7 separate regions of the Mus musculus genome follow, and regions 1, 2, 3, 4, 5 and 6 are each reported to be linked to region 7. Evidence: microRNA targets listed by miRTarBase, many of them from high-throughput screens and not tested one by one. Region 7 holds a microRNA gene; each other region holds the end of a gene's coding sequence.

Region 1 (4,318 bases), not on the chromosome of region 7:
TGGCTCCTGAAGAGTGGGAGATTCACAAGCTTTCCGGGGTGGTCCCTGAGATGGGTGCACAAAAATACAGGCTGGCTGTCAACACCTAATCTTTCAGAACTTAATTCCATCCTGTAGAACCCTCTGGGCTCTTCAAGGGCAGAGGATGCTGGGCCTGATCTTCAGCTAGAGCAAGCTGCTGAGCAAGGGGAGCAGAGGGGTGCAGCTATCTGGGTACCTCGGAGAGACCAGCATGGCTGAGCCGCATGGATGAGCTGTGTGTGGTTGGTAGGGCTTCTGCACTGAAAACATGGGGGTGAGGATCTGAGAAAGACACCTGGCTCTTTGTTCATTCGATCAGGCTCCCACCTCTGCCCAGTATCTTCTCCCTTACACTTCAGGAAGCCTTCTGTGTTGGTGTAGAGCAAGGCCCCCACATGGTTCAGACTTTGGGGGGGGGGGGGGCTATGTAAAGTTCCCGGGCCATCCAGCTGAGCAGAAAGCTCTTAGTTCAACAAGGGCATTCAGTGAAAATGGCAGTCATCAACGCTGCATAAATCCCTCTACCTCTGCTTGCTATGATTACACACAAAGCTAAAATAGCCAGGTGTGGAGCAGCTCCCAAAGCTAACTTTTTTATTTTTGGCGGGGCGGGGGAGGGGTGGTGGTCAGCGTCTACAAAGCTCTGGACTCAGTGATCCACTGCGTGGCATCACGAGAGTGTGCCACCAAGCCTAGCTGGAACAAAACTTTTCCTGAGACAATATGGGAGTTGCCACCGTCTTAGCTTAGCAGGGAGAGTTCCAAAGTAGCCTTTCCATTAAATGCCAATTCACTGTGTTTACAGAGAGAGCCAAGGAATGAACAGGATCCCGCCAGGGATTCCGGTCTGAAGATGGGGATCCGCCCCCCTGCTGTTCGCACCGTTGGCTGATTGGCCAGTGCTTCTCAAACAGGTGTAAGGTAGTCTGCTGGGAGCGAGAGGCCTGCCTGAGTTCATCCTCCTGTCCTGACTCTTTCAAAATGAAAGTTTTCAAAAATCCTATCGCTCTTGCAGATGGGATTAAGAAACACAGTGGAAGCCTATCATTACCAAATCTAAGGAATTATTTTGACACAGAAATTGACCCACCATGTGAAATTGAACTTGGCGATGTCATTAAACTTGGCCTTTTTTTTTTTTTTTTTTTTTTTTTTTTGCTTTTGTTGGCTGAGGGAAGAGTGGAAGAAACCCACAGGGTTTCAGGAATAAGTGGATGATCGCTTTTTAAGGTGACTGGTATTGACAGTAGTGGGAAAATAAATCCCTATAAAATAACATACATGTATTTAAAAAAAAAAAATCATGCCAGGGAGAAATGTTCTGAGACAGAGGTCACAAAGACCCCAGACGAATGAAGAGAGAACTGGCCCAGATCCTGGAGACACCCAGAGCGTTCACCAGGATGGCGGTCTCTCTTCTTCCTTCTTGCCCGAATCCCAGGCTGTGCCAAGGGACCTGGCTGCAACCTCCAAACCATCCGGACTCCGTTGGTTCTAACCAGTGTGGGAGGACCCCCATACGCATACTTCCGGAACATATCCTTGAAGACTTTGTGGTCTCACTGAGCTGTCTGGCTGAGCCAGCCAACTGCAGGAAGGAGCTGTGGTCATCTCCACAAGGACTCCATCTGCTCAAGAGGTAAAGGGGTAGGCTGGCAAGTTTGGAGTGTGGGAGGGAAGGAGTTGGTCTGTGATATCCAAGGAGCAAAGGCAGCCTTCAAATAGAAACCCCGTCTTCCTGCAGTGTTACAAGCAGCCTTGGGGCATCAGCAAGCTTTCTGAGAGGGCTCGCAGCAGACATCTGAAGCAGGTAACACCATCTCTGGCAAGGTTACTACTTCTGAGGTAGAATCTCACTTTGTGGCCCAGACTGGCCTTTAACTCATGGTGGACCTGCCTCACCCTCCTGAGTGTAGATCACAAGCCTGCGCCATTTACCCTTCAAAATGTAAACAACCAAGTCTGAGGCATGATGGGATTATACCTGTAATCTCAGCATTTGGAAGGCTGAGGCAGGAGGACTGCTGTGAGTTTGAAGCCAGCTTGAACTACAGGGTGAGAGTCTACTTCAAAAACCAAAATACCCAAACCAAACCCTTGAGAGACAGAGGCAGATGCATCGCTGCTGAGTCCGAGGCCTACCTGGTCTGCAGAGAAAGTTCCAAGACAGCGGAGGTACATGGTGAGACCCTGTCTCAAAAAACCAAAACCTAAACACATTAACAGAGCCCAAATGGATATGTGACCTCACAGGGCTGTGCACCATCGTTGGCTAAATACCAAGTCAAGGCTTTCTGCTGGTCTGCCTCTCTGCTTGTCTCTCTTCAAAATCCTTAAGGAAAAAAAAAATTTAAAAAATCCTTAAGCACCCTTTTCATGATGGGCACCAGTCGAGGCCCATGATATGAACCCAGAGCCCAGGCCTCCTGCTTCATTGAGCTAATCTGTGCTCACACCTGTGCTGTGGCCAAGCCTCCTTTGTCCCATCATTACAGCAAGGGGGAGCCGGAGGAGACAAGGAAGCAATATTCTATTCTCTCCACGGGAAGGGACTCTGGTAAACATCAGAGCAGCTTTTCAATAGACTCTCTCCTCTCAGACTGGCTCTGGGGAGGGACTTGTAAGAAAGTATCCGTTGCTGACGCTGCCTTTCCTCTCAGCAAGTGTGGAGATGGTTCCTACTGAGCCATCCTGGAGGGTTACCGTGTGGTCACAGCAGGATGATCCACACCCCAGGCCCACAACCTCCGTTAGCAGCAGATGAGGCTCGCAGTGCCTTCTCAGTGACTGGGTGACATAAGCTTGAAGGGAAGCCAACAGCTGAGGACCCAACCCCACCAGGATGGAGGATTAGACGGGGCCACTCTCCCTAAGTGCTTTCCTCTGATGATATCACCTAGCTGTTCTTGGGACAATCAGGTTCAAAGTCTTGACATTTCTGCGGGTCCCCACCCTCAAAAAAACAAAACAAAACAAAAAAAAAAAACAACAAAAAAAACTCCAAACCCAAAACCCCCCACAATTCTCTTGGAAAATCCCTTCTGGACATAGCATTGTTCTCAGAACGAGCCTTGGTCATTACCGTTTTATAAACAAAAATGCACAGTGAGCAGAGAGGTAGGCCTTGTGTTGCCCTCTGAGGATTCTCCCTCGAGGACGGGAATGAGCCGGGATCGTGGGCTGCAGTGACCTCGCCAATGTGGTTCCTTGACATGTTGCAAACTGTATTTTGTATGTCCGCACACATTTTCTTTTTCTCTCCACCAGGCTGGCCTAAAACTCACCATGTAGCTGAAGATGACTTCTAATCCTTCTGCTTGCACCTCCAGTGTTGGAATTTCCGTACGCGTGCGCAACCGTGCCTGGTTTTACGGTTTCTGGGCATCAAAACTGAGAGCCTGGTGCATGTCAGGCACACACTCTTAACAACCAAGCCGTAGCCCTGGCTTGCGTGTACATATCTGAATGTGACTCTTGGCTGACAGTTTCCAGGTTGCCCAGGTCCTACACCCGGGTGTCCCCCCTCACGGGATCTAAGTGGGGAAAGCCCAGAAGACTGAAGTCATTAACACAAATCAAGACATGAGAGTAGATCAGGACATGATGAAAACCTTACAGAGCTGAAAGCTAGTCAGCTTTTGTTTACCCTCGACGGGCTTTTCAAGTGTTCTGGGGCAGATTTCCCTGATGATTTAGAGGTTGCAGCGGGGTCCCTTGGCGCAGACTGGGGTTCGGGCAAGAAGGAAGAGGAGAGACCACACTTGGCGTCCTGCGAGTCAGCGATGGTGGATGTGTCAGCCTCGCTGGACAGGTCCTCCGTGGAGAAGTTGAGACTTCCCAGCTTGGCAAGGGAATGGGACCTTTTCAGCGGGGACGACACGGTGAGGCCTGCCAGGCGCAGCCGCGTCTCGATCTCCTGCGCCCGCTGCTTCACCAGCCCAGGCTTCCCTCGGACGCTGTGGATGCTGTCGCTGCTGGAGCTCCGGGTCAGGTTGGAGCTGATGGAGGAGGAGGTGGGGGTGTAACACACGGTCTTCAGGAAGTCCTTCGAGAAGTTACTGGTGTGATCTAAACGGGGGAGGGTAGACGTGGGGCTCTTCTGCAAGGTTCCCCCTACAGGCTGTTCTTCCGACCCAGCTTGGCTGCACAGGGCTGGGTGTGCGGGCTCCTGGCTACCCTCCTCCGGGATGCTGGCCTCCAGCCTGCAGGTGGCGCTGTCCCTGCAGGCAGCTGGTGAGTCTGAAGGCAGGCTCTTCAACCTCTCCAGCTCTTTGGTGTGCTTTCGGACCAGGCCTGC
Region 2 (4,318 bases), not on the chromosome of region 7:
AGTGTCTTTCTAACAGTCTCTCAGATCAAGCATTTTGGGGGAACCGGACCTACCTGGTCTTCATCGTCATCTTCTGCGGGGAGGGGCATAAATAACTTGAAAGGGTTCTAGAAGTCCCTCTGCCAAACCTTTAAATTTTTATTTCCATAACACAAAATGTAACGTTCCCAGGCAGTTACCTAAAAACACTTAGGGGATATCAGCCACTAGTACCCTCTGTCTCCACTCTGGTGACAGAGATCCAACGCAGCTGAAAACTAATGCATCTGCGTGCATGCATGCTTACATCCGTGCACACGTAAATGCATGTATGCACGCTCATGAAGTTCATTTTGTCTTTGAGCAATGTAGGTTCTGTGGATCAAACCCAGGTTTCAGTCTTGACAAGAACCTTTGCCCTCCAAGCCATCTTTCTGTCCTTCTCCGTAGATGTATGATTAGAAAGCCAACTTGAAGTCCTCTTTGACCTGTTTGTGATGCGCAGGGGGTGGGGGTGGGGGTCCCTTTCCTAACAACAGGTTCAGAGCCTGGTCTAAACAACATGTGAACATTGGTTTGTGGCTCCTTGGACGCCAGGTGCCTATCCCAGCTCAGTCTGTATGTAGATTGTGTGCTATCCTTGCCGTGCCTTCAGATCCCTAGGGACACTAATGAGTGCTCTGTTGCCTCTACAGTACGGAGTGGACGTCATGGCCCGAGACGCCCACGGGAACACAGCACTGGCCTATGCCCGGCAGGCCTCCAGCCAGGAGTGTATTGACGTGCTTCTACAGTATGGCTGCCCCGACGAGCGCTTTGTGCTCATGGCTACCCCTAACCTGTCCAGGAAGAGCAACAGCAGGAACAACAGTAGCGGGAGGGCGCCCAGTGTCATCTGAGCTCAGCCAACACTACACCTGGGATCCCACACCCACCTGCTCCAGAAGTTGCAACCACCACGTGAGTCCCTCAGTTCCCTCCCTCTTCCAGGTGGAAGCCTTCCACCCACCTGCCACTCACTCACCCCACATGAAATCTCCAGACCTGGACATCCTCAAGGGGAGAAGAGGAGGCTGCAGGCCACAGGACGGAACTCTTTCCCCACCCTCCGGAAGCAACGTAGGAGGACCGACCACCTCCCGGCTTTGAGGATAGCACACGACAACGGGGACCCCTGTTCCAGTGGCCTGGAGACGGGGCAGGGGGAGGGGTAGCAAGGAGAAGGGGCAGCGTCCCCTAGCTGGCAGTTAAGCACATCAGTACATTTCACCTCGACCAAAAGGAGGCTTAGATTTCACGTCTTCTCGGGGGAGCTTGACGGCATAAATCAGAAGCAAGCACAGTTTGTCAGGTCTGAAGCCCCTATGATGGTAGGTGTCAAATCAGTTGTAGCTAATCTGTCCAGGGAGAGTACCAGCTTCATTACACTTGTATAGTCGAGTTCCTCCAGCATTACCGCTGTTTAATAGAACGTGATTAGTCATCACCGGGAAGAAGGCATATTAGCCGAGGAGGTAGTTACACGGCACGCTCCGGTGATTGCCACGATATGATTGCAGTGCGCCTAGCAGCATCATATTATCCTAGACGTGTCTCTCCAGCCCTTGGAGCCCTCCTTTCTAAATTCACTGTCATAATTTAGTATCTGTTTAATTTTTCAGTCCAAAGAGAGGAAATCAGTTGCTGGGTATTATTTGACTTCAGTCCCCTTACTTGGTGCAAAAACAAAATGGAAAATAAATAAATAAGTAAATAAAGAGTCACTTGGAAATTCTAAACGAAATCATGAATTCGGCTGAAAACAGCTTTCAAATATGTTCCAAAACTAAATACATAAAAGACTTTTTTTTTTCTAAGAGATTTTTCTGTACTTTGGCCACAACGGATGTGTCAGGCCTCAGTCCACAAGGTCTGGATTACCCAGGTTTCTGTCGTAGATAAGATGTGTGAAAATCTATTTGAATAAAAGAAGTTCATAAATATGCATTGATTTTTGCACAGACAAATGGCACCCATGTTAATTTATAAATTGAGCTGGATGGGAACTAATAACGTGCAACTGGTTGAGCTCAGAGGGTTACAGATCATTGTCCGTGGGAAGTACTCCCAGCAGCGAACACTTCCATTAATGTGATAAACAGCTTTTTAAAAGGTGCGTATCAGAATAAGTCGGTGGCACAATTTGCTTATTAAAGTCAGGACAGGAAGCAGGGAGGGGAAAGAGGGTATGAGCCCTCATCCCAGAGCCCAGTTTTAGAGCCGAGACCATCTTCCCAGTCAAACCGAGGGGCTGTGGCAAGAAGGGGTGATTTCTCAAAACACCAGACCCACAAAGGTACCCTGTGAGCAGCTGCTAGCGGCTCTGGCACAGCCGGCTCCTGAGTCTGTAGACTCCGCACAGCACGGCCCGTCTGGCTCTAACATCCGATTTGCCATCGTAGGTCACAGGGCTCATCAGATACCGGACACCTTCAGCACGGTGATCAGACAGGAACACCAAACCGTGACACTATTTAGTTCTTAAAAAAATAAATTGGGGCAGCCTTGCCAGAGAGCCCCCCGCCTGGTGACAGTGTGGCAGGGAGAAGTCCATCACACTGGAAGACAGGACGCTGGGCAGAGCCACCACCGGCAGCCTGTGGAGACACTCCCTACGCTTATATATTGAACTTTATATTTTGTAAGAGTTTTTCCTCCTCTTTAACTTTTTAAAAAAAGAAAACAAAAAACAAATGTAAAGTAGATGGGAAGGAAAGTGAAGCTTCACACAGCCTTTATATGTGGTGCGCGTCTTGTGGGGATCTCCAGTCTGGGCACAGCCGGAACTGACCGGGATCCAGAAATGTCACAGATGCGCAAGCCGCGGGTCTGAGGCCCCTGAACTCAGTCCATAAGCCCTGCGTTTGGTTTCTCTTCCTGCTCTCCATCACTGTGTTGTTACTTTAAATGTGAATAGAGAAAACAAGCTGTCATTGCCTATTTTTGAAGAATGCGTTAGCATCCGACCCCGCGATCCGCATACGCCTCCACGTAGCCTTTACCATAGACTTCTATAGAGAACACAGATAGAGTATAAATGAGATTCTTAAATTATTTCAGTGTAGCTAATCCCCACTAGGAATGCTTCTGTCGTAGGGGAGCCTACTTCAGAAAGGAAGCAGAGTCCTTTGTGAGGTCTCTCTTCGGGGTGTATATGAGTGTGTACATATTATTGTGTGTTTATATGATATTTTCCCGAATGATTCCTTGTTTCACATCATCCTCCGCTGCCTGAATGCGCAGTTGCTCGCTCTGGTTCCCTCCCTCCCTCCCTGACACCATCAGTTCTTCCTCGGAACACATGGCCCCCTCCCCTGCCAGTTTTTGCCGTGCTGAACTGTCCAAGAGTAGCCCACTTTTCATAAGCCTGAGTTGTGGCAATAGATACAAGGGTGGTATCGGAGCCTCCAGGGTTTTCTGTGCAGATAAAGGAGAGACTTGATTCAACTGAACTTGTATTTCACACCAGGTCCTTCCCTCAACAACAGCTTCCTGTTCCCATTTTCATGATGACACCAAGGCTGGGAGAAACAGGGACAGGGTTATGGCTGGCAGTCCCAGTAGCAAACACTTCCCCTAATGCAATGCGCTTTTTAAAGAGCACATCAGAATGAGATAGTCACCCGGTTGACTTGCTAAAATCAAGGAAGGAAGTGGGAAAAGTCAAAGAAGCTGGTTAAGTGGGGGGAACACGGAACATGTGCGTTCTCACTCCAGACACTGTTAGAGCTGAGACCCCACGCCCACCAGGCCCAAGCCTTCCTGTTAAAGGTGAATCTCTCCCTTCTTGTTGAGAGGTTCCCAGCTGGGACCAGCGGCAAAGGGGCCTGTGACTTATCTGTCATTTGTCCTGGGGAGTCACTGATAGAACCAGGCACATGCCAGGCTCACCTGGGGCTACCTCTGCTAAGCTTCTGATACCCTCCCCCGGGCCGTGAACAGTGTCGGGAGGGAGAGCAGCCTCATTCTGAGAAAGCCACTCTAATGTTCTGTCTGGTTTTACAAAGAGCTAAGCACTGCTCTCCTACTGTCCCCAAGTGTCACTCAAGCCTAAGACGAGCCTCCTCTCCTGCAACCTCGTACCTACGCTGTTGGCTCATCAAGCCTCCTTCTCCCTGTGGTTCCTACCACGAGGCTGCTGGGGTGAGCGCGCACGCACGCACGCACGCACGCACTCGCTCGAGGAGCATACATGCTCTGTCAGAGCCCTCTGCCCTTTAACTTTGAGCATCCTAACACCTCAGGCCTTGGGCTTCACTGCCTCTATCCCGAGGAGCTTGGCCAGAGAGTGAACCCCGGG
Region 3 (4,318 bases), not on the chromosome of region 7:
GTAGGAATGGACCAAGAATGAAGGGAAACTGTTTGACAGGGCTCCATGGCTATAGGAATGAAAGCTTTTCTGACACTTAGACCATAAGCACTTTTACGTAAGAAATTAAGAACTATTTTCTGAGTGAGTAAAATAGATCTGAGATTCATCTTAAATGTAAAATTCAAAAACCAGAAACATATCAGTCTTTCATAACTGTTAAGAACCATAAGCCAGAAACAGACAGACAGACAGACGTGTCTGTTAGGAAGGTAACATAGGAGCTCGGCAAAGCGGACACAGACGTCTTGCTTAGTTGCCATCCTTAAGAAACATATGAAAATGTCATTTACAGCCAGTGTTGTTGGTCAGTAACTTGAACTAAGCAGTGCCACAGTGTGCTGATTTTTATCGAATCCACATGTGAAAGTTGCTAATGAGCGGTTCTTTCTGTTGCAGATCTTTGGCATGATATTCAGCATGGTGCTTTGCTGTGCAATACGGAACTCACGCGATGTGATCTGATGATACTTCATCAGGAAAATTGCAATCTAGAGTTGTCGTGCTAATTATCACAAGAGCTCTCTCGGCTCGTTTTTAATATTCAGGATATTAGAAGCTAAAATAATTTTCTGTCAACTGTATATTTGCACATGTATGTAAGTCTGACTCATTACTGATTTGCCCCTTGAGTGAATGTCTGTTTCTGGTATATGCATTGCACATACTGATATCTGTTTCCTGGGAAACCCTAGTTCTTGTATGCAAGAATAACCTATTTAAGTACCAGAAAAAAAGCAATGAGAGATTTTTAAAACTCGGCTATTCAGGAAATGTAATAATGGGTCCATTTCTCAGATTTTAGCCATGAAAATTAGATACATAAAGAGAATGCAGGATTTCTAGTTAATGGAAGCAATAAGATAGAAGAATTGAAGGGCCATAGATTGACTGTGTCTGAGTTGAGTGTAAAGATTTCTTGAAATATATATATATATATACATATATTCTCCCCAGAATCCAGTAAACCACAGTTTTAGAACTAAACACATCTGTAAAAGTAAATATAGCATGGAAAAATCTAATTCAAAAAAGTCATGTTTTCTTAGCATTTAAAAACAGAAAGCCTCTCTCTGGAAAGAGAAGTCACGCAGACAGACAAGCATGTGCCCCAGAAAAGTGAGTGCTTTAAAGACTAAAACTAACAACTTTGAAGGGGGAGAAACACTGCTATAGGATGACATGCAAACGTTGTTTTCTCCCTCTTCTCTGCCAACTCTGCTTTGAACTAGTGAAGGCCTCGCCTTCCCACAAGGCCTTTCCTTCACCCTCCTTACTGTTTTTTTCAGATGTGGTGACAGAGGAAAGCAGGCACTGTGCAGCGTGACAGTGGGGGACTCTGGCTGGCACTGTCTGTACCTCTGGAATACCTCATGACTTGAGTTTACATACTTTCCTAATATTTTTCCATTTTTCTTATTTATCTGTGCAGAGAATTCTTTATAGATTAAGAACATAGTTTTATTCTTTAAAATAAATAAATCGCCCCATAACTCAGATATTATGTTATGAGTACCCTGTCTAAACCAATATAAACACCTTCTTCAATATGTATGCACACAACAAAGGCAAGTTAATGGATCAAAAGTACTTTCGTGCATACAGCTGCAGCACAACTATATTCTTTCTCAGCGAACCCCTGTGGGGATGAATAGATGCTCAGGTTCTTTGGGAGCCTGAGTGATTGATTTTAAGTGGGGAAACCCAGGCACTGCTCGGCCTTTTGGCAGCAAGTGGGAAACCCCACAGCAGGGTCGAAATTGATGTATTTGTCATAATGGAACAGCGTATAAAGGAGTCTTAGGATTATATTGACCACATAAAAGTGAAGGCATGAGGAATTCTGGAAACCGTCAGGCTAGCTTCTATGTCCGCTAAGAACCTAAGACTTTGGTATGTGCTAGAACAAAGTGCCATGCTTCAGGAAACTTTTACCAAGTGTTTTGCTGAGGACACACAACTCCTGGGATGTCTCACCCACAGAGCGCCACCTCTCTCTTTTTCAGATATTCTTGCTACTGCTACTAGCTTTGGAGAAAAAAACTGAGGGAGTTAAAAGTATAACTGTGTATGACTACTTTACCTATGTATGCAAAAGTATTTAAAAAAAATCACTCTGTGATGTTTATACCCCAGTGGTTGACAAATGCCAGCTTTTTAAGCAAACAAAGAGTGATCAGTCCTTCTTATAGCTTTAGTTTATCTGTCTTCCTGAAGACAGAGAACAGGCTCAAGTGTGTACTCAGGTTCCTCCAGCTCAGAGTTATTTCCCGTTCCTCAGAAGTGAGTTTCATTCCCTGGGTGAGTGAATAAGTTTAAGGAAAACCACAGTAACTATAGACAGAAGAGTAAAATAATTTTTTAATGCAGAAGAATAAGTCTAGAAACCCATGTCCTGTGTGATTACCTCTCTGAGGGTGAAGCTTTCCAAAGAATGTGCTGGGTAAAATTAGAGAATTCCATCTTTGAGTAAAGATGGATATATATCTTTATGTGAATGGATAAAGCTATATCTATAGAGATATATAACCCCTATGTCCTGAACTTATACATATCTTAAATACATATCTCTTAAGGCTAAAGAGATATGTAATTTAATACATGTGTACCCGTTTGAAACTATGGAGATAAATGTTTGTATACATACACATGTACATGTATATACATTTACAGTTATTTCTGTTTACCTGAACTAATTTGAGATCAGACCCAAACATTTTAAGTTATTTTAAATTAAATTTTCTATGTACTTACACTGCTTGAGTTATCTTAAAATCTTAGTGTATCTTCTTAACAAGTTCACATTTTCTTATTTAAATGTGTTACCTACCAATTTACCCAAACAGTATAGTAAAAACAAACTGGTAATCCTTTCATGCTGTTGTTGTGCAGTGGGTTCAAAAGCAACACCCCTAGGGTTCTAATTACATATAGTTGCGTTTCAGCTAACACCAGTTCACCCAAATTGTTTCTCCTTCCTCCAGAAAAACTTGGTTACCTATGGCTTAGCCTTTCGAGTTAATCCTGGGTCCAGTGTGGTTCTCCTGTACCAACAGCCATCGTTTCCCTCTGAGGAATCTAACCGATGTAGCTGGGTGAGAATGAGACCCAGAGAAAGATGATAATAATCTCAATAATAATCAATAAAGAAGATAGCATGTTCTCCCTTCTGAAATAAGTTTTCTGAATATTCAAAGGGTATTTGCTCTCTTGTCATAGGTGAAGGTGGTTTCTATGGCCCAGAGGCAAGCCACTAGTACTCCCCACAGCCCAGCTTTCAAGGCCCCACTGGCATGCTCTTGAACACCAAGCCCGTTTCCCCACACCCAGGAAAGAGCAATTTATGTCTCTTGAGGGTAGAACCAGCGTAAGCTCATCTGAATCAAGTTGGTTTTTGTGTGGATTTTAAAGACTAAAGATTTCCTACTTTCTTTAAATATCCTCCCCCCCCTTTTTTTTTACTATAAAAGGTATTTTGTATATAGATGTCTTTTAAAAGTGAAAATACTACAGCAATACAAAATGTTATTGTTTGGTGTCCTTATAACAAGCAAGGGATTCACAGTTCAGACGCTGCCCCCTGGAAACAGGGAAGACACAGCAAGTACAAGTAACATGCCCTGTGCTTCCCAGAGCTTGGCTGCAGAAATGTGGAGTTAATACAACAGGAACCTTTTTGTGTGTTTTGTGGTGTTTATCCTGTATATTTTGTGATTTCTTTTACTCCTATTAAACAACAAAAAAAAATTAGTTAAAGAAATTTAAATTGCATGTTAATTATTAAATAAGTCAATAACCAATATATAAGTACTTACAATACAGAGGAACTACTGAATATTAGCTGTTATAATTATGTTGATACTCTGACAAAGAGGTCTCTGGGATAAATCATTTTCCAAAAATCATGCAAAACTGAAGATTGTTCCACATGATCCCAATTAGCTTTAAAAACATTTGTTGAACTCATTAATAACCTTCAATACATTCCCCGATTCTGTCTTATTCAAAAGCTATATAGTACTCACAACTGACATCAGTATATTTTTCTCTGTGCCTGCTCTTCATAATATGTATTCTACATAGTGTCAGAGATTGTATTTGTTTGTTTAATTTTTTACTGTTTGAGGCTACTGTCTTAGTGATTTGATGAGCCCTTAGGATAATATTGACCTGACAAGTGGAGTTTGGGAAAGCAGGCCTCTATTGCTATAAGCAAATGCTAATCATTAGCCAAGAGTGGGCCCACTCAAACTGGAAAGAGTAGTCAGGAGAGAGACTT
Region 4 (4,318 bases), not on the chromosome of region 7:
ATAGTTACTAAAGTTACTAAAGAAAGATGCTGTGGGTTGGAGAGACGGACACCTCAGGGGTTAAGGCTGCTCTTCAGAGAACCTGGATTCAATTCCCAGACTCATCTGGCAGCTCACAACTGTCTATGTAACTCTGGTTCTAGGGATCCAATACCCTTACACACACACACACACACACACACACACACACACACACACACACACACACGCAGGCAAAACACTAATGCACATGAAATAAAACTAATAAAAAGATGCTTGCATACCAGCCAGAAAAACATTCCACAGTGGAAAGATTAGTATATTAAAAAACATGAATTTTTGCATCTTTAACCTATTGTCATAGTTTTTAAAACTTTATGGAAGAGTAATATATATATATATTTTTAATGCAGGCATTGAGTTCAGAATTAGCCCAAGCTAGAGATGAAACCAAGAAGACACAGAACGATGTTCTTCACGCTGAGAATGTCAAGGCCGGCCGTGATAAGTACAAGACCCTTCGGCAGATTCGACAAGGCAATACGAAGCAGCGCATCGATGAGTTTGAAGCCATGTGAGAGCTGTTCTTGTGATCCATGTCCTTCATAAGCTGAACCACCACCAGAGAAAAGCAGGCCTGTGCAGTGCAGATGCAATGGAACGCATCCCACCTTGCCAAAGCACTCATACCAGTCGACTGTGCTCACTAGCAGGACACTGAAGGGTGTCCTTCATCATTAAGGCAGTGTGATGTCATGTTTGGTCATTTTTCTTTTGTCCAGGGAATGGATAATGACATTCTGTCACCCACCCTTTTGTACATTTTTCACTTTTTGTTTGTTTCATCTTTTTCAGTTGAATATTAATACTAATGGCCACGTCTGACAAATGTGTGTATGTGCTTTGAGCACTGTGTACATCTTAGGATAATGGTGGACATTTCAGTGCATGTTTAGCTAATGAACTTAGTTTTCTTTGCCCTTTCCATGTTGTAGGCTACATACATCTCCATGTTCATTCTCATGTTTTTTGTCAGTGTGACCTTCTCATGCCCTGTCATGATAGAGCTGTAATTCTGGTGTCACACGGATCACTTACTGGAGGTGTATAATATGAGATAGTGAGGCAGACAGACAGACAGACAGACATGGGACTACATCATAAGATGATTAGAATGTTGGACAGCGTAGTATGCAGCCAGTGGTTAGTTATTACAAAGATCCCTTAGTTACTGTATTGTTTGCTTTCCTTAAGTGCAGTCATCTCTGATAGCTTGAGTGATGGTGTTTCAAATCCTGTAGTCCTATGGTGGCTTTCCTTGCCTGTTACTTTAGAGATCTAGCCACTAGGCAGTCGCTTCTAAGAAAATTATTGATGAAGTGGCCTTGTAAGTACATGGTCTCTGAAAAAAATTCAAGTTTTGTTCTTAGGATGTCCAATAGAAGATAACTGTGGATGATAACTAATTCTAATTGTTGAAGGGGGAAAAAAACCCAAACCTTGGCCTTTCTGCAAGGGCAGCATATGGAAACATCAACTCTGAGAACAAAATACTACCTCACTCTTTACGTACGTGGTGACTGTACGCACAGTCTGTGCTGCATGTCTGTCACCCATACGCAGTCTCAATCATGGCCTTCACTGAGTGCTTTTGAGATCCCAGTGCTAATGTTTTAACTGCCTTTCTGTTGAACTGTGGGGCTCTGATTTGTGTCTAGATTATTGTATATTCTCACTGGTATGCTGTTCCCTGGGGGGTGTTCTGTGTCCGACGCTGAGTGACCCTTTGTGAGAAAGACGTTGCCTTTGCAGTACATGAAACATCCCATTCTTTGTTCTTGATGGGATAGGGGTCGTTATTGTAGCATATTTGGTTTCTAAATCACTGCTTATTTTTATTTGCAATCTCTAAAAACAAATTTTATTTCAATTACGTCTTACTGAAGAAGTCTTTCCAGCTAGAAAGATGTTCTGACACTGTCTGATCGTGAAGCACCTGAATTTACAGAAGATGCAGAAAGCCTCGTTTTCTCTGCGTGGTTCAGCTACTTTCCATTTGGTATTATGCACTCAAACTTAACATTTATCTATTAAAATTGCCATTTCATTAAGCAATTTTCACGCACAGTAGATTCAACTTGTTTTTTGTGCTGTTTTTTGATTTTTGCTGACTTAAAAAGGATTAATTTGGGCAGACATTATAAAAAGGAAAGGGTTAATATATTTTTGGACTCTGTAGGACAAAAGAGAACTGGTTAACCTTGAAGTGACTGTTGTACAGTGGCTGTGCACGTGCTTCAGACTCATTTGCGAGGGAATGCTTTCTGTATGAGAGGGAGACGGTAGGCCTTACCACTCAGACCTGGACGTATAAGTGCTCACTTTTCCAACACATCACAGCGATAGTCCTTATTGCTAAAGGACTTGGCTTCCCTCGGAGTTTTACTGATTTATTTTTTTCTCTTTGCATTGTGTACATTATCATTGCTACATCAGTTGTTACAGTGTTGAAAGGCTACCAGTTATATTTGCTGTTAATAGTCTATTTGTAGATTAGGATTAAAGTGGGTTTAATCCATTTTTATAGCTGTATGAATTTTTCTAAACAGGAACAGCCATTTGCAAAATGGGTTTTCATAGTGATTGCATCAATTATAACATTTATCATTAGCAGTTGAGAGCACATGTTCATATAGCAATGTAAAAACCTACTAATGAGTATTTGGTAATTTCCCATTAGCATAATTTTATGTTGTACAAGTAAATTACAATTCCATCTCTAATCTTGGATAATACTGGTTGGTTAACAATAAAGTGACAAAAGCTCCCGCCTTGGAGGTCCGCTGTTGTTATTTAACGTGGTTTCGCACGTAGCTCTTGGAAGGACAGTCTGAGCCATGAACCATATGAACTGAACCCTGGATCCTCAAAACCTTGCTCTTTGTTTCCTTTTTACAGTGGCGGTCACAGTGACTCGGAATTAACTCTCACGTCCGAGGGTAACTTGGAATTTCCAGGCATTACATTATTTTACACCGTCCAGCCTCTTTTTCCCCAAGGAAGGCAGGGTTTCATTCTTGTTTATTCCTCTCACTACTAAAATCTCTGGTGCTCTTTGCACTTTGTGCTGGGTACCTTTATTCAGACAGATAGGCTTCCTAAAGCTGTGTTGGAGCAGGTACCATGAATGTGGAATTGCCCTTTAGATGGTCTCTCACTAATACTTAGCAGATATTTTTAAGTAAAGGAGTAATGGCTCTCATCTAGAACACTTTAAAAGCCAACACTTGCTACTTTATTTCTGTTTCCAGGAGTAGGTAGTGATTTTCACTGATCTTGAAAAGCAAAGACATTTTTATTTTTTTAATCTAGAGAGCCTTTTTTTTTAAATTACTACTTTTAAACTTAACATAGGAAGTTTTACTATACATAGACATAAACATACTGTTGTAGTTTAGAGTAACTTCTATATCCCCCCCCCCACAGTTTTCATCACCTTAAAGATTTGGGATGTTTTAAGAGACAAAGGATAAACATTAAATCCACACCTATATGTGCCCAAGGAAATCTCATTTTTTAAATGTTAAAGCTTGAAGTACCAGATAAGGGTTATTAAATTTGCATTAATTTGCTAACTGACCAGTGAGGCAGTTGTGACCTTTCAGGTAGAGTGATGGTCTCTTCAAATGCCCAAAAGCCAGGTGTGGTGCCCACACACATGTGATCCCAGACTTCAGGAGGGTGCAGCAGGAGAGTAAGAGTTGAAGGTCATCCTTGGGTACACTCTTGTTGAAGGCCAGTCTAGGCTACCTGCAGCCCTGTCTGCCCATCCTGCTAAACACCAGCACTCCCCGTGCTTTCCGCACAGTAGAAAAGCTATGTCATGTGCAGGCTTACCGTTTCCAACCTTAGCTTTCCAATGACATACTATTAACTCCATTTTTCCTTAGTAGACCTACTATCTCCTAATAATGAGCCCATCTTTGAGGAATTTAAGAGCTGCCATTTCCTGATGGAAAAGGCTGTGACCCTTGTGCTGTCTCCCCTTTGACTTTCTGTTCTGTGAACCAGATGTCTTGACTCAAGCTTATAAACCTTCCTTAAGCAGTGACATTTGCCTTCTTATTCATACCGCCTTAAGAGGTGAGCTGTTCCTTCATGCTTACGCACTGCCTTAGCACTGAAGTATTTGCGTTATCTCGTATAGAATTTTATAGCCCAACTAAGAAAGCCTCTTTTAGGTCACCTTTGTGTCTTGTCCATGGAGCTCCGGGGCACACCTAGTTCCACATTCTTACATAGTAACCTTCATTTAATCAAAAGTGTTTTTATTAATTGC
Region 5 (4,318 bases), not on the chromosome of region 7:
AGATGCTCCGCCTCCACAAACCTCAGTTTCCTTTTCTGTAAGGTGAAAACAGCCCTAGGGGAGGACTGAGATACTGTCATCTCCCTGAGCACAAAGATGGATTCCTGACAAGCGGGGATGAGACAGAAACTTGAGAGCCTGGTCTTCCCGCTCTCAAGTTCTAGCTCCCTGTACTCACCCGCTGTGTGTGGTGGAGCCATGACATAACCTCTCTGAGCTGTGCTCCCCTTGGGGTACAGGCCTCTCAGTGTGTAAAGACAACACACGGAAACCTCTTAGATAATGCTGTTATCTTCTTGGGGTTTCCCCGGTTCCTTTCTGACTTATTCCCTTCCTCTAGTTCCACCTTGAATGAAGTCAACACTTCCTCCACCATCTCCTGCGACAGTCCCCTGGAGCTCCAAGAAGAGCCACAGCAAGCAGAGCCTGAGGCACAACTGGAGCAGCCACAGGATTCAGGCTGCCCAGGACCTCTGGCTGAAGCAGAGGACAGCTTCCTGTAGGAACTGACATCACTCCATTTTGCCCGAATCTCCCTTCTGCCTCCCAGAACCCAACCCTCTTGGCCTGGCCTGGCCTGGCCTGGCCTCCCAGCAGCTACACTGCCACAAGCTGTCCCCTCGAGGAAAGCCCTTGGTTTGCAGCACTCAAGGTCCAGGGACCCAGCTTAGCTTAGGAGGCAAGAGAACTCTGCCTCGGGAAGGTCATGGGACTCTGAACCAGGGTTCCTCCAGGGGACTCAGTTTCCCCAAATGTAAGAGGAAGAGTTGTACTTGGCTACAGGACAGGTCTGGAGCCCGGATTCCTGCAGAAATCCACGACTGTACGGTGGTGTGTTCATATCCTCCTGTGTAGCAGCTGCCCCTCAGCTGGATTGCTCTACTTTGATCTTCCTAAGAATCAGGCAAGGACCTGGTGTCTGGCTCCTGGCCAAACTGTAACCAGCCTTGGACAAGGTCTTTTCATTCAGAGCCCACCTCCCCTGGTCTTAGCTTTCCCAGGCCCGAGCTGGTCTGGGGCCAGCCATGCTTAATGAATGCTGTTAGTGGTGAAGGTAGGCCGAGTACAGAATGCTCTGGCCTGCAGCCCTGCCTGGGCACTCAGGGCACACCTGGCCACAGGAAGCACCCACTCCTTTCAGCCCCACCAGTCCTAGAATAGTCCCCAGGTCACTCTCAGCTGACCCACCCACCAGAGTCTGCAGGGCCATTGTCCACGCCTGTGATAGGCTAAGCATCTGCCTGAAGTGTGTACCTACCACTAGGAGCCCTGGCTCTGCGCTGGACCTGCTATGAGACCTTGGGGGCTTTCCTTGTTCTCTCTGGGGACCAGTTTTCTTTCCCCTTTGAAAAGCAAGTTGGACACATAGACTCTGAGTACCCTGTCAATAGTACAATTCTTGTATGTTCTGGGAGTTTGCTCTTGTCCCGAGGAAGCAGGGTCAAGTCCTTAAACTGATCTTTCTAGGGGTCAGCTGAGCTCTTGGAAGATCCCTGATACACTTCACACTCTGGGGGTTCAGGAACCGAGCCTCTTCTTCAAGTCTCCAAGTGCAACTGCCCAGACCTTGACTTGGAGTGACAGTGAGTGTCCTAGGAAACCCCCTTACAGCTGTCCTGAGGACACAGAAGAGACCACGAGACCCTTTTTTCATATCATGAAGCCAGCAAGAGTGGCAGAGAAGGCAAGCCAGGTTACCTCGGGCCACTGTCACCAGCAGCGTGTGGACAGACATGATGGACAGTGAGGACAGACGTCCCATGCAGGACAAGAGACTTGAGATGGGCAATGAGAGGAAGATGCTGACGGGATTACCACCTCAACTGCCAGCTGCCCCCGTCCCCAGGGAGCACCCCACAGAAACAGTTCTAACCCTGAACCAATGAACATTGCAAGTGCCTGGGGACTAGGGAGTGGGGGGAAGTCAGCCTTTCTGGGGACCCTCCCTGCTAGCTGGTTGGCTAGCTGGCATCTCCCCGCTTGGAGCAGCAGAGGCTGGGGAGTACTGCTCACAATGGTACCAAAGATAGAATCACCTAGGTTTACAAGTACTTGTAGGACTCGAGATAACCCACATTTAGACACCGGAAGTGCTATTTTATATGCTGTTAAGTTTTCCTATCTGTACTTTTTTTTTAAATGGGAAAGATTTTAATATTAAACTTGGTGCTTCTCACTGAATAACCGATTTCTCAGGGTTGGGTTTATGCATCTGGGGGTGGGGGGTAACAGTTTGTCCCAGACAGGTCCCTTCAGCTCCGACTTGAAAGTGAGTTTCATTTCCTCTCATCCTGGGAAGCGTCTGGGTGACCACCTAGACCTTGTGCTTGGGTTTCCAAATGTGAGGTGAGGCTTTTCTGGCCATGGCGTCTGGAAGGGGAGGGAAATGGTCCAAGCCCTTCCCCACCCCCACCTTGCATGCCTCACCATGTGCTTTGGCTTTGGCCACTAAGCCGAGTCACCTCTGCCCGTCCCCATTTCTTGCTGCTCACAGCCAGACTTGGGGGGGGGGGTAGCTTATGGAGAGATGCCTGCCAGAGCTTGAATCTTGCTTGGGTCCTTGAGAGTTGTCACTGGGACCAGGTAGAAGCAAGGCAGACAGAACACCCAGGAGGACCAGATAACAAGAGGAAGTACGGAAGGCAAAACGGTGGAGGGGAGAGGAGCAAGAGGACTGTGTGTGGTGGAGTTGAGCACCAGGGACCACACTATGTCTGGCAGCAAAGGGGTGCAGGTCCAGGAGGCTTCAGCATCCCAGAGATGGTGAAGACGCCATGCGGTAAGCATCCTGACTCCTTCAGGGTCCTGGCTATACGCTCCTCTGCTGAGCCCAGGCCTATTGCACACGGGCTCAAACAGAGGCCTATCACCTCTGTTTGGATACACCCTTGCTCCATTGGACCTGAGGGGAGGGCTTCTCTGGATGCGCGTGAAGAATGTCTCAGTTTGGAGCTTCGGGTTGTGGCTCCCAGTGTGAGTAATAGCATAGTCCTGACTCACTCAGAGGCAGCTGAGACAAACCAAGGAAAACTGACAAGAGGGCCTTTCAGGAGTCCTGACTTTAGGGGGCACCTCAAGTCTGTGACGTCCTTCTCTCCTGGATGTGGAAGGCACAGAATGAGGCAATATCTCACTGTGCCCTGCAGAGAACAAAACTCAGATTCCAGATAGGAATTTCTGTGTTTGAGATTACCTTTTTGGTTTAATGAGACAGGGTTTCTCTGTGTGGCTCTGGTTATCATGGAACAAGCTCTGTAGACCAAGTTGTCCTCGGACTCACAGAGGTCTTCCTACCTATGCCTCCCAAGAGCTGGGATTAAAGGTGTGTACCACCACACCTTGCTAAAAATAATGTTTTTGTTTTTAAAGGTTATTTTTATTTTATGTGTATGTGTGCATGGCTATATACCATTTGCATGCAATACCCACAAAGGCCAGAAGAGAGCAGCAGACCCTCCTGTAGAGTAATGGACTCTCCTGAGTTGTTCTGTGGATGCTGGGAACCAAAACTGAATGTTGTGAAAGAGCAGAAATCCCCCTCCTTCCCTCCTTCCTCCTTCCCTCCTCACCCCCCCCCCCCTCTGAAATTTATTTACTGACCCATCCTTGCAAGACTCCCAGGATAGATCTAACTAAGGTAGCAAAGGAATGAAGAAAAGACAGACATCCAGACACACAGACACACAGAAGTCACTGGGATCAGGTAGTCTAATTTCAGTCGGTGCAGCCTCCATGGGAAGTTGTCTTCAGGTGGTAAACATCCAGAAAAGACTGGTAGACAATTTCTGCACACACTGTCAACATTCACACAGGCACTAGAGGAAGGCTTTGCCACGCTTATGGCTCTGAGGCTATTGGGTCTTTAACATGGCTGCTCTCATGTCAACAACACGAATCCGCTCGGGACTTCAGATACTCAGGGCCTGCTCTGCACCCCACAATTTACCTTTTCATGCTACGTGTATGGGTGTTTTGCTTGCACATGAGTCCAGTGCCCGAAGAGGCCAGAAGAGGGTGTTGGATGCCCTGGGACTGAAGTCACAGATGGTTGTGAGTCACCCTGTGGGCGCTTGGAATGGAACTCGGGTTCTGCAGGAGCAGCTGGTACTCTTAACCCTCCGCTCCAGCCCCATAGATCGAAACTTTTAAACTGAAAGTCCTTTTGCTTTACACAGTTTACACCAAGATATTATGACATGTGTTTTTATCCCAGGCATGTTTGTTTGGTCAGCTGTTTTTATAACCTTGTTTGTGGTATTCTTAGGAAGGGAGTATAGTTCTGCATACAGTTTCTGCACAGGGCAGTTTCTAGTCAGTG
Region 6 (4,318 bases), not on the chromosome of region 7:
TACCTCTTGCCTTATTTAACCGGCTTTTTTTTTTTTTTTTTTTTTTTTTTTTTTAAGATTTATAGCCGGGCGTGGTGGCGCACGCCTTTAACACCAGCACTCGGGAGGCAGAGGCAGGCGGATTTCTGAGTTGGAGGCCAGCCTGGTCTACAAAGTAAGTTTCAGGACAGCCAGGGCTACATAGAGAAACCTTGTCTCGAAAAACCAAAAAAAAAAAAAAAAAGATTTATTATTATATCTAAGTGCACTGTAGCTGTCTTCAGACACACCAGAAGAGGTCATCAGATCTCATTACAGATGGTTGTGAGCCACCATGTGGTTGCTGGGATTTGAACTCAGGACCTCTGGAAGTGCAGTCAGTGCTCTTAACCACTGAGCCATCTCTCCAGCCCCCTTCACTGGCTGTTTAATGAAATAAGATCATGTTTTGAAACGATGAGGACCTATACAGCCTTGTGTTGGGTCACAGTTGTGAGGCCAGATCCTTCATTGACCCAGGGTAAAGGCAGGCTATCCCTGATGTTTTTGTTTCGTTTTCTAAGACAGGGTCTATGTAGCCCTGACTGGATCAAACTCATCTTTTAGACCAGGCTGGCTTCAAACTCAGAGATCCACTTGCCTCTGTGTGTATGCCTCTTTCTGGGACTAGAGGTGTACACCATACCATACCCAGACTGCTTCCCACTGACCTGCCCCCGGCCTCCCTGCTCAGACAGTTTTTCCACTGTAGCTCTCTGCCTATCTTGGAACTCATTCTGTAAACCAGGCTGGACTCAAATTCAGAGAGTCACCTGTCTCTGCTTCCTGAGTGCTGGGACTAAAGACATACACCACCATTGCCTGATCTCTGTTTTGTTAAGGTGTGGGGAATGGGGTTTGCACGAATACATATTTGTACCTCACGTTCTGATCCCTGTAGAATTCAGAGACGGGTATAGGATATCCTGGAATTGGAGTTAACAGTGTGAGCCACTATTTGGGAGCTGGTGATCAAACTCAGGTCCTCCAAAAGAGCAGCCAGTGCTGAGCCATCTTCCCGGGCCTTAACAGGCTGTTAATTTTCTTATTTACATGTGCCTGCATCACATGCATGCAAATGCTCATGGGAACCACAAGAGGGAGTCAAGAGCCCTGCAACTGGAGCCTCGAGCAGTTAGCTACTTGATGTGGGTGCTGGAGACCCAACCTGGGTTCATGGTATAAGAGCACCACATGGTCTGGCTGCTGAGCCAGCTCTGGAACCCTATTACCAGGGTTTTAATTACTCAGGCCATCACCCAACCTCACCCTTCAGCAGCCTTCAGGGTGCCACCTCTTGCTGCTTCCCTGTGGGTCCCTGCCTCTTGAAATGAAATGACCCAGATGCTGCAGGCTTGGGAGCTCCGTCTCAGGTTTCAGTGCAGATTTATTTCAGTTTTATATTTTATTCCAGGCAAGTGCTTATTACATGGATAGTATTCATGTCTCAATACCTAAACTCAGAGCATGAACAGCCACTAGAGTACAGTTCAATAGTAAAAATACAATATGTACAAAATTAGGGTTTTTGTAGTTTTTTTTTTTTCCCACACAGCAGATGTACCCAAACACATAAAAATCTCTACAGTCTGGGGTCGCTACAATTCATATTTCAGGAAACAGAGACACAGTGACCAAGTCCTCACTGTAAACAAGGGCCACCTCTTTGGGGATTGGGAGTGGGACCCTGGGATTGGGGTGGGGGGAGAAGCAGCTGTTCCTAGAGAGAGACTGTGGTGACCCAACTCCCCTCCAGGTATCCCCTGCCCTTCTTTGGCCCCAAGGGAACCACTCTCCCCTTTTCCTCCCCGAGGTAAAGATCCCAGGCAGTGAGCCACTCCAAACAGCACAGGTAAAACACGCATGAGAGGTAAGGTGTGTGTATGTGTGTGTGTGTCCCAGGCTGGAAGGGATAGGAAGGGAAGGGCCAGGCGGTCCCACAGCGTGAGGACAGATGTGGTCCTAACAGCTCTCAAAGGGGAGATGCCCAAGAAAGGGCTGGGAGGTGGCTGCCCACTTGGGCACACAGCAGTCACAAACAACAAAAACAGCGACAACACCCATCACCACCAATCTGGACATAGTCATTCGGCACTAGATCTGGAGGAACCCCTGCCGGGGGGATGGGGGGAGGGCTGGGTGGATGATGAGGTATCTGTGCAGGCCTGGGGGCCAACACGATGCTGTCAACTCTGCAACTGGCCTCGAGACACAGAGAAGGGTTAATGGGACAAGTGGTCTGACCCAGCCAGCACCAGACTCTGCCCCTTGTCACAACACAGAGCAGAGAGTGGAGGTGGCCCCCAGAGTCAGAATGTGGGTAGAGGTGGCTGGCAGCAGCCACAGGAAGGCAGCCAGTTTGTTGGGATTCCTGTGCTGGGGTTGAGACCTGGTCCTAGCTACCATTCCCTACCCCAGGAGACAAATAATAATAATAAAGTGCCCTGGGAGGTTTCCAGGGCCAGGAGGACCTGTGAGCTCTGAGGCACCTGAGGAGTCATTATTTCAAGGGAGAATGTATTCAGGACCTTCGCTGGCCTCAGTGTCTGCTCACAATGTCATCTGAAGGACCCTGAGTCCTCCCCTCTGGCCCCTGGACTGCCTAAGCCCCCAGTGCAAACTTCGCACCTTAGGGGCACTTGCTTCCTGCCCCACACGGAAAGGCCATTGGTGAGTGTCCAGTGAGGGCCTGAATGCGCACGCGAGTAACTGAGTGTCTGACACAAGGCCACTTGTAATAAATATCCACTTAAAAAGAGAAGCCAAAGCGGTCTGCAGAAGCAGAGGCAGGAGACACAGCACCCCCGAAGCACAGCACCCCCGCTCTCCATCAAACACATGCTGTGCCTTGTCTTCCCCAGCAAAGGCCCTTTCCACCATAGACACTGCAGCCCCACCAGGAAGGGAGGGGTCTCAACACTGGCACCGAGAGGGAGGGAGAATGGGAAGAGCCCCGGGATACCTCCACAGTGTACCTTAGCTCCTAGAGCCCTTGCTGGTCCACACCTCCCAAGCTGCAGGCAGTACCTAAACCAGGGCCGGGGGAAGCACTAGGGAAGCCCCACCCCAGGGGCAGGCTCGGGAACCTTGACAACAGCCAGGACCTCGTTTATTGTTGGTTGGGACTCATTCTGAACAGTTTCTACTGTAGCCAATCACAGTGACCACAGGTGGGTCAGAGTGGCCCAGGCCCAGGCCTTCACTTGTCCTAACCTGACTCCAGATCTTAGGATCTGTCACCTGCACTCAGAGGTGGGCCCCTCCCCACCCATCTCCCATCTTTCTGGGGCTCCCTGTTTCCTATCCAGAGGTCCCACAGGACTCTGAGGCTGGGGAGGGGAAGCCGGAGAGCTCAGCCACCTCCCCAGACAGAGCAATAGCAGCAACAGCACAGGAAGGCAGGCCAGGGAAGGGGAAGGCAGAGAACGTAAGCCACAGTGCAGACTTCCAGGGGACAAAACAGGGAGATGGAGCGGCACCAGAACTGGCACCAGGCTGGGTAGGCAAGAATGTCCACCAAAAGCATCCTCCTGTCTGCCAAGTCCTCCTGCAGCAGGACTTCCTGCCTGCAGCCAACTCCCTGGGGGCCCCTCCCTTCCCCTGGCTCAGAGTCTCTGCACCCCCTTCCCCTAAGGAGGCCTGGGGGTGGTGTGGGTGGGGCGGGCCTGGGCCTGGCTGGAATGTGTGGAGCTGGTGGGTGGGATTAGGGGCAGTCAGGTCCCCTTCCCTGCCCCCACTGGGGGCCTAAGTGGCCTCATTCTCAAGCCAGCTTGAGTGTGCTGACCGGAAAGGAGGGCATGGTGACCATAGTCACAGGGTTGAGCACTGTTTGGCCCACCAGCTGGGGGTGGTGCACCACCTGGGCCCCCACAGCTGGCTTTGCCATGACAGTGGCTGGGGGCCCCAGCCCGGCTGTGCCATTTACTTGCTGGTGCGACAGGGTGTGGGCGATGTGGCTCACGGCCACTGGCTGGCTCACGGCCACAGGCTGTGGGTACAAGGGCAACTGGGAGCCAAGGTGGGCCACATGGTTGAGGGTGGCAGGGTGCACTGTGATGTGGCCGATGGGGGGTGTGGCGGGTGCCAGCTGCACAGCAGGGCTGGGGGCGGAGGGGGCGATGTGGGCGATATGCTTGCCCCCCGGCCCCTGCAGAACATGGTTCACAGTCTGGATGACTGAGGCATGGGTCGTGGCTGTGTGGGCAATGACCGTGGAGCCGCCCCCAGCCGTGGCCACCAGATGGGCCGGAGCTGGCACTAGCGTCTGGGTTGGGGTGGCAGGTGGGGGAGGAGGGGCTGG
Region 7 (4,318 bases):
TACTTTCCCTGAGGCACAATCTGGGGTGCCCTTGAATCCTGACTCCACCCTCTAAGTGGAAGTGTTTTGCTTCCTTTGTAGGTTGTGGAAGTGGGGAAGTGAGCACAGGGTCTCCCTGGGCTGAACCACTCCCCTGCACCCCAGAACTTCCACTCTGCTGAATGCTGTGTCGTACCCACCCTGATCCCCACATGCACCCCTATCTCTAGTGACAGTCAGTTGTCAGAGAAGAGCCAACAGAATGTAGAGAGGGGCACAGGACATGTCAGAGGTCATCTTCCAGGAAGCTACCCTGACTGCAGAGCACCTCAGAGCTCTCGGATGCTCCCACGCTACCCCACTGGGTGGTCGCCGTGTGTCCTGTCCTGTGTCCCTAGTACTTGAACTCTGCAGAGCAGAGGCCATCTCCCACTGCAGCATAGGAGCCAGGAGGTGGGTGTGACTGGCCAGCATGTCATTCTGCTTGCACAGACACAGCTGGCTGTGGTAGCCAGAGGGTGGGCCTGTGTGAGGGTGAAGGGTTGGGGGCTGGGCTGTGCAGAAGAGTATGGAAGGTAGGCTGTGTGATGGTTTGTATATGCTTGGTCCAGGGAGTGGCACTATTAGGAGGTGTGGCCTTGTTAGGGGAAGTATGTCATTGTGGATATGGGTTTTAAGACCCTCACTCTAGCTCCCTGGAAGCCAGTCTTCTCCTGTTTGCCTTCGGAACAAGATGTAGAACTCTCAGCTCTTCCTATGTCATGGTATTCTTCTGCCATGATGATAATGGACTGAGCCTCTGAACCTGTAAGCCAGCCCCAATTAAATGTTGTCCTTATAGGAGTTGCCTTGGTCATGGCATCTGCTCACAGCAGTAAAACCTTAACTAATTCAGCAAGGGATGAAGAGTGGGCAAAGCTCTGCACAAGGGAGGGGAGGAAGGACTACTCCTCTAGGGCTGGAGGCATAGCAAGAGTCAACAGACTTCACCACTGACTACAGGATAAAGAGAGGTAAAAAGGTGACAATTTATCATCCACCATCGATGTTCCAAAGGACAGCAGGGAGGAGACAATGGGGCATGCCACGGAGTGTCTGAGTGTCCACTCCTGTGTCTCTAGCTGCCAACTCCTATACAGCCATCAAGACCCAGCTCAGATAGCCCCTACTTTGGGAAGCCATCCCTGTTGCTCTCAGAGAGTACTCAGAGAGTCCCTCTGGGTACTCTCAACCCTGGGGCTAGCACAGTATCAGATCTTTGGAAATGGCTGGCTAAGTTTGAGAGGTCTGGTAGCTGAGGGTGGATATAGAGGGGCTCTAGGGGTGTTTGGTCTGCCTAGGTGCGTCAATGGAGGTGTGTGGATATGCAGAGTTGAGGCAGATTGGGTTCAGGACGGGAGCTGGGACTCGGGGGATTCATTATGGGGAGAAGGCCAGGACATCAGGGTCAAGGTATCCACCCACGAGGGAGGCCTTTGGTGTCTGGTCAGGTAAGACTAGGACTTTACCTTCCTAAGCTAACACTAGCTGAGGGCTGACCCTCACCCCACTACCACCACCTGAATGAAGGCTTGGGGTCCCTGGAAGAAGGGTATATGACCATTTGGCCCAAGATTAGAAAGCTACATCCACAGCCGTCCCAATACTGTCCCAAGGGAGGCAGGCACGAAGGGACAATAGGCCAGGAATTTCTCAGATCTGGTTAGGACCACAGGCTGAGGGACACTGGAAGCCAGTACTGTGCTCTGAGACTTGGAGTCATAGGGTCTGTTGTTCCACTCATGTGGAGGGGCTTGGGTGTCCAGGGCTTGGGCCACTAAGGGGCACATGGAAGATGAGGGGAGGGTACTGTTCACTACCCAGAGCAGCTCTTGCTGGCAATGTTTCATGCATGCAAACGTGTCAATGTGTGGTTGGCGATCTCATGTCCTCTACGGCCAGTCTCCGTATTTCCAAAATGACCAAAGACCAGTTGTAAGTTCATGACAGAACATCCTTTATTTATACCCAGGTCCCACGTCATAGCCCCCACCCAATCTGTGGCTCCATTTAGCTTGCTGAGCGGGGGCCTCCATGTAGCTGTGTCCCTGGGCGCCTCAGGGAAGGCAGTAGGTTGTATAGTTATCTTCGGAGGGGCAACATCACTGCCCTGAAACCACACAACCTACTACCTCACCCTGCGGTGTCCGTGTTCTGGAGGAGGCCCAGCCGCTCCCCACCCACCCTGGCCACAGGCCACTAGAGCCATAGGGCACAGGGCGGGGTGGGGGAGGGGGAAGTGGAGACAGAGGTTCAGTGAGAAAGGCCTGTGCCTACCAAACAGATTGAGGAAGCCTCTGGTGTCTGAACCCATTGCCCCAGGGACAGGGGACAGTGGCCTACACGGTCCATCTGCAGGCTGTACTCATGGGTGTGCTAAGAATGGCTCCTTTTCAATTTCTTCTCGGAAGAGACGCTTGCTCGTCAGAGGCCTGACCCTGCGCTGGAAAGCCTGGGCAACTCTGGAACATAGTTGAAGGTCTAGTCCAGACCCTCTTTTCATGGAGACCTGTGAGCACAGGTCTGATATGGGGCCAGGGGCAGGAAGGCCCCTTCAGTGTGGGCCAGGGAGAGAAGGTGCCCTGAAAATGCTGTCTGTTTTCATCGCTATGCCCCAACCCTTATACAGATGAGTAACAGCCCAGAGAGGTCAAGGGACTATCCAAGGTCTCTGTCAGGCTCTTTTTGCATGGTAGTTATCACCCCCCTGTCCCTCCCTCAGTCTCCCCAGCCAGGGCCGCCGTTGTATCCACTGCAGATATTGCGGCCACTTCAGGAAAGACAGTAGATTGTATAGTTACCGCAGAGCGGGGCAGAGCCCAAAACCATACAACCTACTACCTCACCCCAAAGGCCGTCAGTCAGTCTTGGCGTAGAGCTGGATGTTGTGGCTTCTTGAGGTCCCTCCTAGAGGAAGAAGGAGAGCTGGGGACATGGTGAGCCCCACCCCCCACCCCCGACACAGGCCGCTCAGTGCTGAGGGTATTAATAGACTGGGATTTTCTCAAAATGGGCCAGGGACATTTAAACAAAATCACAGAGAGAGTAAGGGGAGACGGGGAGACGGGGAAACGGGGAGAAGAGAGAGAAAGCACGGGGCACTGAGCACAGGAATGGCCACAATGGGGGAAGGGTGTCATTTGTTAAAGGCCACCAAGGTCCAGGGTGCTTCCAGTGTCCACCTGGCTGAGACCCAGCCTCTGTCCACTCAACTCTAGCGTAGTAGAATCACCAGGACTCCTGCTAAGTAGTAGCCTTGGGCATGTACCCTCTTCCCCTTAGGCAGGAAGAGCCCCCCCCTCGTGGGCTCTGGTTCTGTCCCTCCCTCTTCTCAGGGTGGCCTGAGCTGACCTTGCTGGGGGAGGCTCAAAACAGTCTTTCCTTGTGGGAGGCAGCCTAACTCCCCATGGTGGCCAGCCGGGCGCAAGTGCAGACCCTGGCTGGACACTCATGGCCAGTCTGTCCCTAACGACTAGCACTTCCAGAGGCCAGCAGAGATCGCTGAAGAAACTGAGGCTCAGTCTCTGGTCTCAGGTAGCTCTGCTCTCAGAAGGGAAAAAGACCTGCTTCTTTCAGGCCTCAGACCGGTTTGCCCAGCATGTGGAGGGAAGCCCTGTGCCCAGACCTAGGAAGCCAGGCAGCTTTTGCTCTCTGCATGAGCCCTAGCGTCTACTGTCACGCCTCCTTTCCTCTCTGCCAAGGGTCAAGGGACAAGTCCAAAACTCCTGGGTCAAAATGAAGCCGTTAGGTCTAAGTCCACATTGTGGCCCCAGATCCGGAGTCTATGGGGCAGAGGAGCTTAGGAACAAGGTTCCCAGAGCGCTGGTGTGGCCTGGCCCGTGGTGGGCAGGCCTGTGATGATAGGAAACACTAATCTTCCAAGCCCCAGAAGGAAATCTGAGCCACTGGGGTGCCATCCCCTGCCTCAAGCCTGGACCCTTTCACTAACAGGCAGGTCAAATACCCTCAAGGATGGTCCCTGCAGAGGCAGCAAGGCAGAAGAGGCGTGGGAAGAGAGTGGTGAAGGGCCCCTTTGGTGATCCTATCTATGATGGGTGGCCCAGGTGAGAAGGCTGAGGGGTGTCCCACACTGCTTAGCCTCTCTGTAGGCTTGACTGGCCATGGTTAATCTCGTCGGTTCTTAGGCTGTGCCCGGATGTGGTGGAATAGCTAGAGACCACATTGGTCATCTCCATCTGAGCCCAGCACCTCCCTCCCCCTCTCCGCCCCCAGAAGCACTTTGAAGGAGGAAAGAGGTCAGACATCAACCCCAGGTCTCTCAACACTTCGGGTTCTGCCC

Evidence for each region. Region 7 holds the annotated microRNA mmu-let-7b-5p (UGAGGUAGUAGGUUGUGUGGUU, at 2,133-2,154, opposite strand). A microRNA usually pairs through its seed, bases 2 to 8, with sites in the 3' UTR of a target mRNA and lowers its output. Matches are read on the target gene's strand: a 7mer-m8 pairs with bases 2 to 8, a 7mer-A1 pairs with bases 2 to 7 and ends in A, and an 8mer does both.
Region 1: miRTarBase lists Ssh1 as a target of mmu-let-7b-5p. Seed matches in the 3' UTR shown: 7mer-m8 at 3,136-3,142 and 8mer at 1,863-1,870.
Region 2: miRTarBase lists Agap1 as a target of mmu-let-7b-5p. Seed matches in the 3' UTR shown: 7mer-m8 at 3,916-3,922.
Region 3: the mRNA of Tspan2 is a reported target of mmu-let-7b-5p. Seed matches in the 3' UTR shown: 7mer-A1 at 1,407-1,413.
Region 4: the mRNA of Rdx is a reported target of mmu-let-7b-5p. Seed matches in the 3' UTR shown: 8mer at 1,533-1,540.
Region 5: miRTarBase lists Pdgfrb as a target of mmu-let-7b-5p. The part of its 3' UTR that is shown has no 7-base or 8-base seed match.
Region 6: the mRNA of Mnt is a reported target of mmu-let-7b-5p. Seed matches in the 3' UTR shown: 7mer-A1 at 2,166-2,172.

What each region holds. Positions count from the first base shown.
Region 1 is chr5:113,938,587-113,942,904 of GRCm38, forward strand. It overlaps Ssh1 (slingshot protein phosphatase 1), which reads right to left. Exons shown (of 15, transcript NM_198109.5): 15 at 1-4,318. The coding sequence ends at 3,653. Among named protein-coding and RNA genes, the nearest start is that of Coro1c, 32 kb to the left of the region's middle.
Region 2 is chr1:89,888,017-89,892,334 of GRCm38, forward strand. It overlaps Agap1 (ArfGAP with GTPase domain, ankyrin repeat and PH domain 1), which reads left to right. Exons shown (of 18, transcript NM_178119.3): 18 at 675-4,318. The coding sequence ends at 878. Among named protein-coding and RNA genes, the nearest start is that of Gbx2, 41 kb to the right of the region's middle.
Region 3 is chr3:102,768,439-102,772,756 of GRCm38, forward strand. It overlaps Tspan2 (tetraspanin 2), which reads left to right. Exons shown (of 8, transcript NM_027533.3): 8 at 439-3,872. The coding sequence ends at 504. Among named protein-coding and RNA genes, the nearest start is that of Tshb, 12 kb to the right of the region's middle.
Region 4 is chr9:52,085,923-52,090,240 of GRCm38, forward strand. It overlaps Rdx (radixin), which reads left to right. Exons shown (of 14, transcript NM_009041.3): 14 at 393-2,816. The coding sequence ends at 557. Among named protein-coding and RNA genes, the nearest start is that of Mir6244, 28 kb to the right of the region's middle.
Region 5 is chr18:61,082,881-61,087,198 of GRCm38, forward strand. Pdgfrb (platelet derived growth factor receptor, beta polypeptide) reads left to right here. Exons shown (of 23, transcript NM_008809.2): 23 at 341-2,187. The coding sequence ends at 503. Among named protein-coding and RNA genes, the nearest start is that of Csf1r, 21 kb to the right of the region's middle.
Region 6 is chr11:74,842,781-74,847,098 of GRCm38, reverse strand. It overlaps Mnt (max binding protein), which reads right to left. Exons shown (of 6, transcript NM_010813.3): 6 at 1,374-4,318. The coding sequence ends at 3,779. Among named protein-coding and RNA genes, the nearest start is that of Mnt, 14 kb to the right of the region's middle.
Region 7 is chr15:85,705,161-85,709,478 of GRCm38, reverse strand. Mirlet7b (microRNA let7b) reads right to left here and starts at 2,160; the gene lies at 2,076-2,160. It overlaps Lncppara (long noncoding RNA near Ppara), which reads right to left. Exons shown (of 2, transcript NR_110483.1): 2 at 1,955-2,925. Mirlet7c-2 (microRNA let7c-2) reads right to left here and starts at 2,876; the gene lies at 2,782-2,876. Gm34622 (a long non-coding RNA gene) reads left to right here. Exons shown (of 3, transcript XR_384306.3): 3 at 1-608.